2 linked regions of the Arabidopsis thaliana genome follow. The protein of the gene in region 2 interacts with the protein of the main gene of each other region in a biochemical or structural test. Each region holds a gene or a part of one and is shown on either strand. Other genes may lie near its edges.

The links. Proteins that work in one complex are often made in the same cells at the same time.
Region 1: the proteins of SGT1A (region 2) and PBS2 form a complex in vitro, tested with the Arabidopsis thaliana proteins (one study listed by BioGRID).

What each region holds. Positions count from the first base shown.
Region 1 is NC_003076.8:20,998,992-21,006,759, reverse strand, and holds PBS2 (cysteine and histidine-rich domain-containing protein RAR1), read left to right. Parts: upstream 1-3,473; 5' UTR 3,474-3,616; coding exon 3,617-3,724; exon of another isoform or gene 3,725-4,435; coding exon 4,436-4,438; intron 4,439-4,537; coding exon 4,538-4,620; intron 4,621-4,719; coding exon 4,720-4,874; intron 4,875-4,969; coding exon 4,970-5,199; intron 5,200-5,285; coding exon 5,286-5,387; 3' UTR 5,388-5,616; downstream 5,617-7,768. Other genes in the region: KEA5 (K+ efflux antiporter 5), read left to right, coding at 1-33, 116-184, 289-366, 454-542, 636-732, 838-891, 1,125-1,220, 1,316-1,504 and 4 more; ACS12 (1-amino-cyclopropane-1-carboxylate synthase 12), read left to right, coding at 5,803-6,144, 6,237-6,371, 6,627-6,787, 6,896-7,745.
Region 2 is NC_003075.7:12,296,712-12,305,162, forward strand, and holds SGT1A (phosphatase-like protein), read left to right. Parts: upstream 1-3,166; 5' UTR 3,167-3,303; coding exon 3,304-3,463; intron 3,464-4,038; coding exon 4,039-4,111; intron 4,112-4,298; coding exon 4,299-4,423; intron 4,424-4,571; coding exon 4,572-4,674; intron 4,675-4,748; coding exon 4,749-4,845; intron 4,846-4,927; coding exon 4,928-4,993; intron 4,994-5,086; coding exon 5,087-5,225; intron 5,226-5,318; coding exon 5,319-5,398; intron 5,399-5,482; coding exon 5,483-5,587; intron 5,588-5,674; coding exon 5,675-5,782; 3' UTR 5,783-6,008; downstream 6,009-8,451. Other genes in the region: AT4G23580 (Galactose oxidase/kelch repeat superfamily protein), read right to left, coding at 7,535-8,451. UniProt on the Arabidopsis thaliana protein: Functions in R gene-mediated resistance, but participates in a lower extent than SGT1B to RPP5-mediated resistance. Not required for RPM1, RPS2, RPS4 and RPS5-mediated resistance.

The DNA of each region.
Region 1 (7,768 bases), on a different chromosome or scaffold from region 2:
TTACTCATGTTTTTGTGTGGTGTAACTGCCTTGGTATGGCCAAAGATTTCAGTATGTGTGCATATACGGCAATCTTGAAATTATTTTTAGAATTGATATCTGATGACATGTGCAGTTGTGTGGAGCAAGGTTGTCAGAGGGTATTTTTGTTGGTGCCTTTTTATCTATGTCATCAACTGCAGTGGTATTTTTCTTTTCTTTTGTCTTCTCAAGTTTAATACAAAAGCTACTCTCTTTCCGGTTTCATCTCAGAGTTTCTGTTTCTAATCCACATGTCAATTTGACCAGGTGGTAAAGTTTTTGGTAGAACGGAACAGTACAAGTTCTCTTCATGGTCAAGTTACTATAGGGATACTTATCTTTCAGGTTTCACTCACATCACTCTATATTTACAAATTGAATATTTCGTTTTACGAAATTTTTGTTTCCTTTAGCTTAATCTTGAATTTTCAGGACTGTGTTGTTGGTTTACTATTCGCCTTGCTTCCAGTTTTGGGTGGTAACAGTGGTTTACTACAAGGAATTATATCAATGGGAAAGCTGTAAGTGGTTCCCTAGTAAGAAGTTTGTCCAGGAACCTCTTATATATCCTCATTACCGTCTCTGACATAAAACATTTTCTTCTTCTAATTTAGGCTACTGATATTGTCCATATATCTCACTGTGGCATCTCTATTAACGTGGTCATTTGTACCTCGTTTTCTGAAGCTAATGATTCAATTATCATCTCAAGTACGTTTTAGACGTCATATCTTCATATACACTACTTGTCTATCTTTATTTCTTTCTTAAAGTGGGATCCAAATTATTGCCAATGTCTCTCATTATATAATGCAGACAAATGAACTTTACCAGTTAGCTGCTGTGGCATTCTGCTTACTATCTGCATGGGTAAGTCTAATTCTGTCATTTCTTTGCATACTGGTGCTTGCTTAGCTTTCTGATCCCTTTTGGTGTATTATAACATCTGAGTTAATTGTTACCTGAGCTTGCATCTTACTAATAGACTACAGAAGAAAAAAATGATGATTACAATAGACACTGAAGTATTTAAGTATAATAGCATATTGATGTAATTTCCAATTTTTAACTTAGAGTGTTGGTTCCTCGCAAAACTTTTTCAGTGCAGTGACAAGCTGGGTCTTAGTCTTGAGTTGGGATCATTTGTGGCTGGCGTTATGTTGTCTACGACTGAATTTGCTCAACATACACTAGAGCAGGTATTGATTCTAAACTCAGGTCGCTTTTGCTTTGCGAGTACGTGGTACAAAATGAAGTCTTAAGGTGGTGGAATCTCCCTTACTTTGTGATGTAGGTGGAACCAATTCGTAATCTGTTTGCCGCTCTCTTTCTATCTAGTATCGGGATGCTCATTAATGTTCACTTTCTATGGAACCACGTGGATATCCTTCTAGCGTCGGTGATTCTAGTGATAGTTATTAAGACAGCAATTGCAGCAGTAGTTGTTAAGGCTTTTAGGTACAACATGAGGATATCTTTCCATGTGAGTTTGGTCTCTCTACTTAAGCTTTTGTGAGTTTCTACATATTATACTATTAAAACCAATCACGTAAATTTCTTGTCACAAATGTTATATATAGGTCGGGGTACTGCTTGCTCAGATTGGAGAGTTCGCCTTTGTTCTTCTAAGCCGAGCGTCAAACCTACACGTAATCGAGGTAACACCCTTTTACCCTTGTAGTTGAACACACTCTTTACCATTTTCTTCTTCCTAAACTTTGTGGCTTTGGGATTAATATGAATGACCAATGTAGGGGAAAATGTATCTACTCCTTTTGGGCACAACTGCTCTAAGTCTCGTAAGTTACCTAATATATGCAAACAAGCCTTTTCCATTCTAAGAGAACATACTTAAAATAATATTTAGTTCAAAACTGATTACCTGAAAATGCTGTTACAGGTAACGACTCCGTTGCTATTCAAGTTAATACCGAGTGCAATGAACCTCGGTGTCCTGCTTCGATGGTTCCCTTCTGAGAACAGTTCTCCGAACGAGGTCATTCTCTTTTCCAGATCTATTTATATTTAAGAACTGAGATAAGACATGACATAAAAATGAAAATAGATGTATTGATTATAGGAAACTGACTTGTGAGGTCGTGACTGAGAGTTTTGTTTGTAGAGTTTGCAGGAGAAAGCATCATTGATAGAAGTACATAACAGAACCAAGTGATCTCTCTTTTGTACATTGACTGAAGATTTAAGAAGAAAAAACAGATTTTGATCCGATATACTCAACTAGGAGGCAGAAAAAACATTTGAAACTGACCAAATCAGATCCAAGACTTGCTTTTTGTATTTTCTTAACTCTTTATTTTTTGTAATATCGTATATATTTAGTATTCACTACCTTCTTGTGTAGTTCAAGCGCTTATAGCTTGTTTTACTTGGTGTAAACGTTGTAACGATATTAGCCTTATATGCTGTTGTTTCTTTAATGTTCATCACAAATAAGAATCTCAATAGAAACCACAGAGTTCTATAATTGTGTGCTCAAACTCCACATATCTAAAGTGCGAGCAACAACTAGATGAATTTAGAGGTATAAATCCATTGCAATGCACAACAAAAATAACAAAAAAGAACCCTCCTTAGAAGAACAATGACATCAAAGTATAGAAAAGGATTGAGGTGGAATGAAGTAAGAGGCTGGTGAAATAGGAATTTAGTAGCACATATATGAGGACACGTGGAGCTTAGTGATTGGTTGAAATAAGAAAAGATACGTGGATTCGATTGGTATGAGCTGAAGTTGCTCAAGCTTAAGATCAAGTTGTTCATCGTCTTCTTCATTATGCAAAAATCTGAGAATTGTAAACTTTTCTTCTTCTTCCTTTCTTGTGTGTTTGGGGTTGTTACTCATTGTTAGTTTGAGATACTTCCTTCAATTCACTAATATTATTTATTTACGGGCAAATCTTAATGTGAGATTTTTGCATAGTGAGAAGTGAATCTGCGTTTTATGAACATCGTTTCAATCTATAGTTCGATTTCATTTGTGAGATTGTTGAGTTTCCTGTATCAGCTGGTTAAATAGCAAATCTACCATTCTTATCACCATTACGGAGATTGAATTTTCCGGAGTCATGGCTTTCCACGTAGTAGATGAAGTTTGGGGATAGGCCATACAAGCAAACTTGGAGACGGAAATATATACAAATAGAAAAACAAAATAATTAAGATTAGTTTTGCACAAACTTTGCAAAAACATCAAAATAGGTCCGACATTTAAATCACTTGCTTAGGTCTATAAAATAACACTCCCATCATTCAACATATTTTTCCTCTTGTGGGTTAGACCTACAAATCCGTGGATAAAACTCTTTAAAAACCTGTAATCTGTAACATATTGGCTTATTATCCATCACGCATGCTATTTTATGGACATGAAAATAATGTCCAAGCGGACCAAGCCCGCTCTGCATGGTATTATTTGGGCCGAGGCCCGTTTTACTCATCAGTTTTCATTACCGGTCAAAACTCAAAAGTCAAAATTTTCTAAAAGACGAAAAAGCCCTTTAATTTGATTTCCCAATACTTTTTACTCCTACCTTCTCAATTCGTCCGATTTCTTCACAAATTCACGAGAGAGATAATGGAAGTAGGATCTGCAACGAAGAAGCTTCAGTGCCAACGTATTGGCTGCAACGCCATGTTCACCGATGACGACAATCCTCAAGGTTCTTGTCAATTTCATGCTTCCGTACGTCTTCTTCTCTCCCCATCTTTAATCGATTCTTCTCTTTCTTTTCTAAGTCTTCGATAGTTTCTGATAAACCCATAGAGTAGCTTTTGAATTTGATTTTATGATGTGAGGTTACGAATTTCGATTTTTGATCATGAGAAGATGATTACGCAAGTGTTTAATTAGGTTTTGGATTAGCTGATTGATTACATGTAGATTTCATTTAGTTGTAAGTAAGTAAGCTTTGAACACAGCTTTGATTGTCTAATTGTCAAATTTTAACTAAGTTGTTTGCTTGCAACCTATGAATTCTGTGAGACTGTGAGCTTATTAGAACACTTGATGGAAGAAAGCAAAAGTATATTGCGTAAAATTGAATAATCCAAGTATTAGATCTTTTGCCACCGTTTATGGCTATGTGAGGGAGAGTGTACGTACATGCAGCGACTTTTGAATTGTTTGCTTCCAACTTTTGCCACCGGTTATGGCTATGTGAGGGAGAGAGCTCGTTAAGACTGTCCCTGGAAGTGTAATTAGAACAATTGTGTATAGAAAGAAGGCTTTATCTCAATATTCATCTTAACATTTGGCCTTGTATACTAGTGTTTCTTTCATATTCATCTATTGCTTTGAGCTTTTTATTGTAATTCATCTTCTTTTATTATCTTTTCTTTTTCCGGTGTGGCTGGGGCTGGTCTTTGCACTGACTACTGGTTTTTGTTCAAGCAGGGAGTAAGTCAAATTTACTCTTCAAATACTGTTTTATGTTTTTTTTTTTGTTTCACACTCGCTTGCTCAGAGAATTAAAGCTACCAAAGTTCAAACTTGCAGCCATTTTTTCACGACGGAATGAAAGAGTGGAGCTGCTGCAAGCAAAGAAGTCATGATTTCAGTTTGTTCTTGGAAATTCCAGGGTAACTAATATCCTTGTACCCCCTCATAATAATTCCTCTGTCTTTCATGGTACATATTGTAGTTGATTGCAAACACTGAAGATGTTTCTTGCAATGAAGATGTAAAACAGGTAAACACACAACTGAGAAACCAGTTCTGGCCAAATCGGTTCCAAAACATCCTGTTGCGGCTCCTACTTCATCTCCAGATGCCAATGCAGCAACAAAAGACTCTTGCTCCAGATGCCGGCAAGGCTTCTTCTGCTCAGACCATGGTTTGTATCTTTATTCTCTCGTCTTTAAATTCTCGTTGCACATTGGTTACATGCATGACCTTCTATCTAATTTTGTGTCCTTCTTTACCACACAGGATCCCAACCCAAAGAACAGATCAAGCAGACCCTGAACACACCGGGACAAGCAGAAGAAGAAAAAATTGAACCCTTAGCGCCTCCAGTACAAAAGGCTGTGATAGACATTAATCAACCGCAAGTCTGCAAAAACAAAGGATGTGGCCAAACATTCAAAGAGAGAGACAATCATGAGACTGCATGTAGCCATCATCCAGGTCCTGCGGTCTTCCACGACAGACTGAGAGGGGTAACACGTTCTTTGTTCAATCATTTTGTGACCCTTTTCTTTCACTGTTTGAATTTCTATTGAATATCACTGTTTTCTTTGTGTAGTGGAAATGTTGCGATGTTCACGTGAAGGAGTTCGACGAGTTCATGGAAATACCTCCTTGCACTAAAGGATGGCATAGCAGCAGCCCTGATCCGGCGGTCTGATATATTTTTTTTCCTGAGATTTTCGATTCAAAGATTAATCATCTTTTCTAATTGTGTTTTCATGTTCTTCTTATCATATGGAATTCTATTTTAGATTTGTTATAGAACCTTTCAGTTGACAGATATATGTAATGGTTAAATGCTCATCTTCTGTGTTTTGGATCATGATTATGGCTTTGATTGTTGTTTTCAAAACTTTGAAGATCTTTAAATAATTTCACCAATATTAGAAGGACTATTTAGCAACTTTTAAAACGTAGAGACAAATTGCGAATATGGAAAAATAATTTGCCAATTTATCTCAAAACTTTTGTATTTATTCGACTCTTTTTCAACTTCGTTACTCTCAACGAACGGCTCGAATCTCTCTTCAACGCCGGAGGCAACAACTATCTCCGCGGCGGAGCATTTTCCGATGAGGTTGATAGTACCTCTCCGTGGAGTAATTCAAGGCCGTGGTGGTCTCTTCGTCGGCTCTCTCATTCCTTGTTGTCTCTTCTACTTTCTCCAGCTCTACCTTAAACGACGCCGTCCTCCTCCCTCCGACCCGACGGACTTACCGAGAACTTTTTCACGGACTAATCTCTTCTCTCGCGGGAACTCGATCGGACGAGTTCGAGTCTCCTCCCGAGCAGTTCCTGTAGCTAAACCTTCCGATTCGCCTTATTACATTGGGTTGGAGAGAGTCAAAACGGATCCGTACGATCGGATTACGAACACGGATGGGATTATTCAGCTTGGATTAGCCGAGAGTACGGTGAGATTTTAAAAGTTCTCGATGATTTCTTCTCTTTGTGATTGTTGCGATGAGGTTTAATCTGATGGGGATTGCTTTTGTGAGTTCTGTAGCTGTGCTTTGACTTGCTACAGAGATGGATGTCAGAGAATTTGATGGAGTCAATGATGCAATCTGATGATGGTGAATTTGATATTAGTAGTATCGCCATGTATAAACCTTTTGAAGGATTACTTGAACTCAGAGTGGTAAGTGCATACACCATTCACTTTTTTATTCTTCAAATTTTTTGAGGAAGGATAGCTTTTTGCAGTTATTAGTTAAATATTTGACTGCAAACGTGTATCAGAAATTAGAAGTGGTTTGATTGATATATGTTCTTGTATAGGATCAAAGGAATGTTGATTATATATCAGAAATTTGTGTATTCAAACTTGTGGATTTAGTTGTCCCAACAATGTAGCGAAGGAAATTGAATTTCTTCTATTCCTATCATGTTTCAGGCTTTTGCTGATTTCATGTCACGAATAATGGGAGGTAATGTGTCATTTGATCCCTCAAATATGGTTATAACAGCCGGTGGGACTCCTGCTATTGAAGTATTGGCCTTCTGTTTGGCTGATCATGGAAATGCTTTTCTAATTCCGACGCCATATTATCCAGGGTAATTTTTAGTTTACACTTCTCGACCATTAGTATGTGGTGAAACTTTTTGATTTATACACCAGTCTTCTCTTCCTATGCGATGTACTAAGGAAACTTCATTTTGCAGCTTTGATAGGGATATTAAATTCCGGACAGGAGTGGAGCTTATACCAGTACACTGCCGTAGCTCTGACAATTTTACTGTAACGGTTTCCGCACTGGAACAAGCTTTGAATCAGGCTAGAAAACGAGGAAGCAAGGTTTCTGGCATCCTCTTTTCAAACCCGTCAAATCCTGTTGGAAACATACTATCAAGGGAGACGCTTTGTGATATTTTGAGATTTGCTCAAGAGAAGAACATCCATGTTATTTCTGATGAAATATTTGCGGGTTCTGTTTACGGGGACAAAGAGTTTGTTAGCATGGCTGAGATCGCTGGCTCAGGGGAATTTGATAAGACTAGGGTTCATATCATATATGGCTTGTCAAAAGACCTTTCAATTCCTGGTTTTAGAGCTGGAGTCATCTACTCCTTTCATGAAGACGTAGTAAATGCTGCAAAGAAGCTGATGAGATTTTCATCAGTGCCAGTTCTAGTTCAAAGGATACTTATCTCTCTACTATCTGATGTAAGATTCATTGAGGGATACATGGCAGCACACAGGCAAAGGATCCGGGATAAGCATATTCGGTTTGTGGAAGGTTTGAAACAATTAGGAATACCATGTGCTGAGAGTGGTGGTGGGTTGTATTGTTGGGTAGACATGAGCAGTTTACTGACATCTTACAGTGAGAAAGGAGAACTCGAGTTATTTGAGAAGCTATTGACTGTTGCTAAGATTAATGCCACTCCAGGAACAGCCTGTTATTGTATAGAACCAGGTTGGTTCAGGTGCTGTTTCACCGCTTTAGCTGATGAAGATATCCCAGTGATTATGGAACGAATCAGACAGCTTGCTGAATCATTTAGATCTTGAGGTCGAACCAGAATTTTGGTTAG
Region 2 (8,451 bases):
GAAATTGAATTGAACATTTACTAGTTACCCGTTTGGAAAATGAAATTGCAAACTTATTAGATGATGTAACGAACTAAATATATAACATATCATCGTAAATATTGTAAATATGTTCACTTTTATAGCTTGATTAATGGTAAAATGAAAATTTGATCTAAAGAAAAGGCAATCTTATCTAGATGTGAAAACGCAAAGTGTCGTTTTTCACGTGTGAGAATACTGATTGACTGGACTAGTACGTAGTAATATGGAGATGCCGTGCGGTTGAAATGTCTGTATAAAAACATTTCAGCACCCATTCCTTACAACGTCGTCAATGTTAGATTTTGCCGTTAGTTTTTATTTTATTTTGTTTTCAGTTGTCATAAACTTATTTCAGTTATCAGTTATTATAACTAATTGTTTTTTGTTCCTCTTTTCCTGCTAAGTGTAAACCTATTGCACAAATTTCTTGCATGCGTGTTCACCGTATATATGTTTTTAATTCCTCTTTCGTTATTGGGTTTTTAATGATGAAATAAAACGGAACTCAACTAGGGACAGTACAGTTCATGATCATATTGGATACATGTATTAGTTCATTTAATTTAATTCAATTATATACACAATAGTTTATTTAATTTCTCTCTAAATGATTGATGATGATTGACGTTATTTTCACGGTTTTGGTACCGTATAAGTTTAGTAAAGTGTCAAAACGACATTGTTTGTGAAACATATGGAGTATTTTTTCAAGAGTTAATTTGCCACTCTATCATATCGTTTCTAAAAATTGAAATCATTTCTAGTTTTAATCCTGGTTTAGCTGTAGTGATACTATTATGCTCCTCATTCTCACAATTTATTTCTACTTTGTTTCTTTACCTTCACAATTTCTGCCAAATGAGATCAATATAGACGTCTTCAACATCAAAGTTTTTGTTTATAAATACAAAATTTAAAATAATAATTTTGGTCAGAGTCGATGGTTATAAGGTGATGGGCGTGATGGCAAAGCATGTGACAAAGTTTTATGTCCACTATTCTCTTTTCGCCTAACGCAAATTCGTGTACGTTACAACTCCCTAATAATAATGCGTTAATTACTCTGCCAAGCTCATTTTCATTTATTACTTTACATGTTTTTTTTGTTTAAAGCATTGTCATATTTATTGTCATTATGAAACCCAAAATGAAAGGAGTTAATTAGAGATCATTGTTTTCATCTAGAGCAGAGCTCTGAAACTGGAACCAATTATTTGGAGTCTTGATGCAAATTCATGTAGCCTTGGAGCTCTGAAATTGTTCTTCTATATGTTTGCTGATCAAATTGTTAAAATAATGGTGAGACTGAGACTCATGGTTTAAATACTAGCAAAAATGGTAAATTTAAAATCCCCCTTAGCCACGGACCTTGAGCAAAGAGTCTAGTGTATGTGTCTATATATGGTTCACCTTTTGGATAAGAAATCAATTTCAAGCTCATCTTTCTACATAGAGAGAAACTTGGATCTTGTACTTTTTAAGATGGAAACATCCATAAAAAGGTAAAGATAAAGCTGATATGGCAAAACGCCAACAAAATCCTACAAGTAAATAAATCTTGGGCCAACTTTAATGTTCCTAAAAGAAATGAACTTAGCTACAAAGTTACTAGTCACGTCTCTGCTGCCAAAATTCTTGACACATTCTTTACACTTCTTCGAACAAAGAGAATGGTTTGATCCACAAAGGATGCAATGCGCACCGCTTCCACAACATTTGATCTGTGGCATAAATCAATCTTGCACCATAAGGGCTTGAAACTTTCAGCTTTTGCCACTAACACTCTAACGCAAACTTGTGTTAGACTGCAACCAAATGAAATATTTGAGAAGCACCAGATCCATTAACAGCAACTATGAGCCCATTACAATGATTTGCCTCCATCAGTGTCTTGGATCGCTAACACTATCCAATAACCAGCCTAGCTGGTACTTAGACAGAATTTTTTTTTCTTCTGGATCTGTGAAAATAAATGTAACATGAGCCATTGACTAAGATCTAGCTCTAATTAACTCAGTCAAAACGACGATCAAAAGATTGAACTATTGGAAATGGAAGGGGCCGCGCGAACGCAGGCCCCCAAGGCAACAAATAATGACGCAGGATCTCCCACTTGGGGTGACCTTTGGCTTAGCGCACCTCAAGTGCAGGAAGCCACCAGCCTAGGCCACGGATCTTCATGATCACCCGTAAACCCCGTCCAGGTAAGTAATTTGCAATCCTCGACCATCTTCTTTATTTATACTATGCTACACACGAGTGCCCATCCTCAAACTTCCGATGAGGGAGCATCAACATTATCTCGTATCTACTATAGGCAGGCTTTCGTTGTTTGATTAGCCCAAGTTTTATTTCTTGATAGGCCGCAATGTCTATATTCCGGTCCAAATCAAACCCAACAGATTTTTTTTTTGTCGGCTATTTGTCACAGATTTCTTTTTATATACGAGGAACAAGGTTAATTATATTGAACTAAACATTAAAAAAAAAAAAGAATTTTACAGATGCAGGTTGATATTTAACGTTATTGTGGGTCAACTCAACTCATAAGCAAAGTTGATATGATACTATTTAAATTGACTTCACCACATCCACTTGACACTAATAAATTGACTTCTCCATCCCTATCCACACATATTTGAATCTTCCAATAAGGTTCCACGAAACTGCTAGGAAAACAATATTTTCTAAGGCAATAGTCCCACTTTGGTTAATCATAAAATTGTCAAATCCACTATGTAATTTGTGATCCATAATAAATTAAACCAGTTATTCATCATCTAAGTCAGACACTATTTTAACTCTAGAAAACTTGACAAAGTACATGAAATGTTTTTGAAGTGAAGTAACAAAATTCCAACATGTACAAAATATATATTTTTTTTTTTAAACGAAAATATATACACTAGAGACCTCACCTATTTTTCTTAATAATATCAAATCTCACATATTTGATGTACACACAAAATTAAATTTATAGAAAATGAAATATATTATTTTAGAAAAATAAGGAGAAACTTTGTGGAAAAAATAGAAAAATATTTAAATTATTGTTTTTATAAATTTTATTTTGGGTTCGAACTCTTCAACTCCCTGAACACAAGTCGCATAAAACGAAGGAACAATCTAGAAGAAGAACGATAACATCCAATCTCTCTTTATATTCCTTCCTTCCATTGTGGCAATAAGTAACAAACCTTGCCCTCTACTTCATTCCCTCCTTGTTTTGATTTCATCGTCTTTGTTAGCTCTCCTCTGTTTTTTTTTCTTAGTCAATCGATGGCGAAGGAGCTTGCTGATAAGGCTAAAGAGGCTTTCGTAGACGATGACTTCGATGTTGCTGTTGACTTGTACTCCAAAGCCATTGACTTGGATCCTAATTGCGCTGAGTTCTTCGCTGATCGTGCTCAGGCCTATATCAAACTCGAAAGCTTCACTGGTAGCTTCTTTGTTCTGTTATCTTCGTCTTTTACTGTCGTGGACGCCTTCTGGGGTTCTGGGTTTTTGTATGTTTTCGGTTTCTTACTTCATCATAGCTGAAAGTTGTTGACTTTGCTGGATTATGTGTATTTAGGGTTTCGTTTTGTGTCCTGTCGCTTGATAGTGTCACAATTCTTTTCGAAAGTTTAAAGCTTTCGTATCAATTTGATACTAATGTGTCTCTCTTTTGCTGTTTGTGGAGGAACAATGTATCGGAATTGCTTTCATGAGAAACGAAATTTAGTTATTTGTTATCAGTAGCGAGTGCCCTTTACAAGTTATGCATTCAAACATTGGTTTAAGTTGGTTTTAGCTGTGCTAGTCTTTTGATTCTTTGATTGTGAATATGGAGAATTTTGTTTACAGATAGTGTTAAGTATTAACGGAGTATTGAAAGTTTCAATTTTTGCTTGAGTGATTAGTCTTTAGTTCAACTATTTCTTGCTTTAAGAAAGTATTCTCTGCATTTTTAGCGTAGTATCATAGAACTTTACTAGTTGGATAAGATTTTGGTCTCATTTGATTCTCAATGAGCAGAGGCCGTGGCAGATGCGAACAAAGCAATTGAGTTGGATCCTTCATTGACCAAAGCTTACCTAAGAAAAGGGTAACGTTTTGCTATTTCCTCCTATGTAACATTTTTAAGTCGTATATAAGTTGTAGTGAGAGTTTAATTTTCTCTGATTCCTTAGTCCTTAGATTGTTTTACTACCAGTTTATATGGTCTGCAAATGTGGTATATATCTGTCAAGCTATTACTTCCATTGTTCATGGTTTGGTTTTTGTATTTGTAGAACTGCCTGTATGAAGCTTGAAGAGTATCGGACTGCTAAAACAGCTCTTGAAAAGGGTGCCTCTATCACGCCGAGTGAATCCAAATTTAAGAAGTTGATAGATGAATGCAATTTTCTAATCACAGGTATGTTTTTTGTGTTTTTTTCTTGTTTTCTGGTTGATTATGTTTACATGCCTAGAGTGATTGTATTGTTTGCCATGGTGCAAAATATTTTGTTATGTAATTCACCTAAGGTTTTGATCTATGGAACTTGTAAATATCCTTTTTCCAGAAGAAGAGAAAGATTTGGTTCAACCGGTGCCTTCGACTTTGCCTTCAAGTGTGACAGCACCACCAGTATCTGAACTTGATGTCACCCCTACAGCCAAGTACAGGTAGTTTTATTGTAGAAAACAATACCAAAGTTTTTAAGAATCATTAAATATCTGATATTCTTGAGTGTTAACAGGCACGAGTACTACCAAAAGCCAGAGGAAGTTGTGGTAACTGTTTTTGCAAAAGGAATACCCAAGCAGAATGTTAACATCGACTTTGGTGAACAAATTGTGAGTATAAGGCTCTTAAGAACCCAACTCAATGGCACTTCTGTGTGCTTGTGTGTTAATGGTATTGTTTTGTGTTTTGAAGCTGAGTGTTGTGATTGAGGTTCCTGGAGAGGATGCGTATTATCTCCAACCGAGATTGTTTGGAAAGGTAATTTATCTGTTGAATGAATTAATGTTGGTTTTTCTTTCAACACTCTGAGCTGAACATGTTACATGACTTTGTTTTACGGTGTATATTCAGATAATACCAGATAAGTGCAAATATGAAGTATTGTCGACCAAAATTGAGATCTGTCTTGCAAAAGCCGATATAATCACATGGGCCTCCCTCGAACACGGCAAAGGGCCAGCGGTTTTGCCAAAGCCTAATGTCTCATCAGGTTTTCTACCTTTTCCTTCTTCAGTGTCATCTGATGAGCTTAAACAACAGTCTCTTGTAATGTAAATCTTATGTTGTATGTATGATGATGCAGAGGTTTCACAGAGGCCAGCTTATCCATCTTCTAAGAAAGTTAAGGACTGGGACAAGCTGGAAGCTGAAGTGAAGAAGCAGGTCCGTCTCTTACCATGTACTTAAAACCTCGACCAAACGGTTTTGTTTTTTCTCTTCTTTTGTTTGATTGTGGTTGACTTGCAGGAAAAAGATGAGAAGCTGGAAGGAGACGCAGCTTTGAACAAATTCTTCCGGGAGATATACCAGAATGCGGATGAGGATATGAGGCGAGCGATGAGCAAATCATTTGTGAGTATCTCTTTTCATGGAGTACTGTAAAAGTTTTGTCCTTTTGATCGACTCATTTATGGTTTTCGGGTTTTGAACAATGAGCAGGTGGAATCGAATGGGACAGTGCTGTCAACAAACTGGCAAGAGGTTGGGACTAAGACAATCGAGAGTACTCCTCCGGATGGCATGGAGCTCAAGAAATGGGAGATCTGATCTGATATGATATGATGATCCTTTCCTTTTTATGCAGTTGTGAATTTTGCCTAAATGTAGACAAATCTTGAAACCTGGTCCCTTTCTTCCTGTAATGAGGATCCTAAGGTTTTTGCTTTTTTGTTAAATATGGCTTTCTACCTCTGCTATGTTGTGACTTGTGAGTTATATTGTCTTTAGGTCTCAACTTTTTTGTTTTTGTTTTTATTTGAGTATTCATAATTTCATCATGATCACTATTCTTTAGTTTTTGTTAAAACTTACTTAATTAGTCTACAAAACCAAATATATCCCAAGTATGGAGTTAAAAGTCAAAGAATTGAGTTAACCTCTCGATCGAGTTGTAAATTGTCACTTTAGAGTCGTCTCGATCGAGTTGTAAATTGTCACTTTAGAGTCGTTTTAAACTTAAGTATGGAGAAAGTGATTTTTTATTAAAGAGTTATACAATATTTGTAATTATGAAAGGAACTACGTTACCGACTTGGTGTTGTCCAATGGTATATTTTCTAGGTAGAGATGTTGGATTCGACATCTTTAGAGATATGTTTTCTTTAAAAGAAATGAATTTAACTTGTTGTAGATCCTGCTTCTCGAACATATAGAGCCTTCGAACTTAAACTTCCATATATTCCAAAGAAATAAAAAACCCACGTTATTTGTGTAAAATTTTTACATCTCACAACCTTTATTTTCCGATAAAATTGTGATTTTTTAATATATATTGACATGGAATATTCTTTTGATTATGCAGGTGATCAGAGCATCGAGTCAATAATCCTTAATGTTCAATAATCCAATCAGCCGCACGTAATAGGAGAAGAAATCTATTTGTTTTTAAGGCCGCCTATGATCTATATATATGAACTACCCACACCTGTTTTAACTAACAAAATCTAAAGTTTTCTCAACTAGCCAAAAAAAACCCTAAAAGGCTCTGATCCAATTTCATCCGTCAAAAATCTTATAATAAATGAACTATCTTAGGTTGACCAACGTATCTTCTTTGATCACCTTGATAAGAGAAAGATTTGGTTCAATCGGTGCCTTCGGCTTTGCCTTCAAGTTCGACAGCACCACCAGTATCTGTTGATGTCACCCCTGCGACTGCAGCACCAGCTAAAGCCAAGTACATGTATTGTAGAAAACAATGCTAAGTTTTTAAGAATCATTAAATATATATCTCATATTCTTGAGTGTTAAACAGACACGAGTACTACCAAAAAGACAGAGGAAGTTGTGGTAACTGTTTTTGCAAATTCAGATTGTATAGTGAGATTAAGTAGCGAGGTTTTTTTGAAGTAAACGCCATTTGTTATCTCTCATGTGTATTTTTCCTTGTTTGATCTCTAATGTAACAAAGTTAATAATGAAAGCCAAAAAAACAAAGCCAATTTGGCTTCTTGAAAGATTTGGGTGAAGATTTCATTAGAATGTTACACCCACACTTAAATGAAAAACTTAACACTAAATATTGGAAGACATACTATGATGATACATATCCATATCAAGACTTTTTCAAAGTCTTTACATCGGTAAAACATGTAAATAGTGGAAAAAATTGAGGCAGTTAACATTTTTAGTTGAATGATGAATGATTTATCAAAGTGAGCCAGCTTTGCAACAAGAACTTGATAGTTACATGTTGCCAAATAAAATTGCAAAAAAAGAAGAAAAAAAAATCTAAGACAAACAGTTCGACAAGACTATCAAAAAGAAAATGATAAATATTGCATGGGTGGTTGACAAAATTCACCAAACCGTAGCAGTAAGAGCATGCACTAAACCCACATAACCGTTTGGCGTTTTGGATATAAACACATTGTCAAACCACTCAAGCGTTCCCCAAATTTCCCCATTTTGGTGTTTTTCAATCGCAATTTCCGCACACCAAATCTTTTTTTCCCTATCAACAAACATATACTCCTCCCAAGAAATCGCCATTTTTCCACCATGATCCGCCAATTTAACATTTGAATGAGAAGTAGGCAAACTAGGCAATCTTCCCAAGCCCTTCAAAATTGTCCATGCTCTATTCTTGAGGTCATACCAACGTATCTCCCCCTCACAGTAACGGTAGAACACGTTCTCTACCACACAATAAGATGATGATGACGACAGACTCCATCCATTATTCATACATATGTCTGCCTCTCTCCATTTACCTTTATGCATCTTGTAAGTCACATCTTTTTCATCAGACTTCACATAGACGGTTCCTTGATAACTTACGCTTAAGTACTCAGAGCCTTTGCATATCTCCTCGCTAGGGATCTGTAGAAACTCCCAAGTTTGAGTCTTCGTATCAAAAATCTCCATCCAGTTCATTGTATCGAGATTGTCGCAGCCTCCCGTAACATATATTCTCCCATCAAGAGTACAAGCAGATGGAAACACACGGCCCACCCGCATGCTTGGAGCTTCATGCCATGTGTGAGAACGAGAGTTCATAATCATAACGCTAGACAAAGCGTTATAAGTCTTTGATCCAGTGGCATATATCGAAACGTTTTTATTCTTTGATCCACCGCCAATGGCATATACATCAGGACCAACCACTACAACACCCGGCAGGGATGGGGAGGTAAAACTGGGAGATGAAATCGGAACCAAAACGTTTTTGGAGCTATGTGGTCTGTGGCACAGAATGAACCAATGTAGTAGTTCAG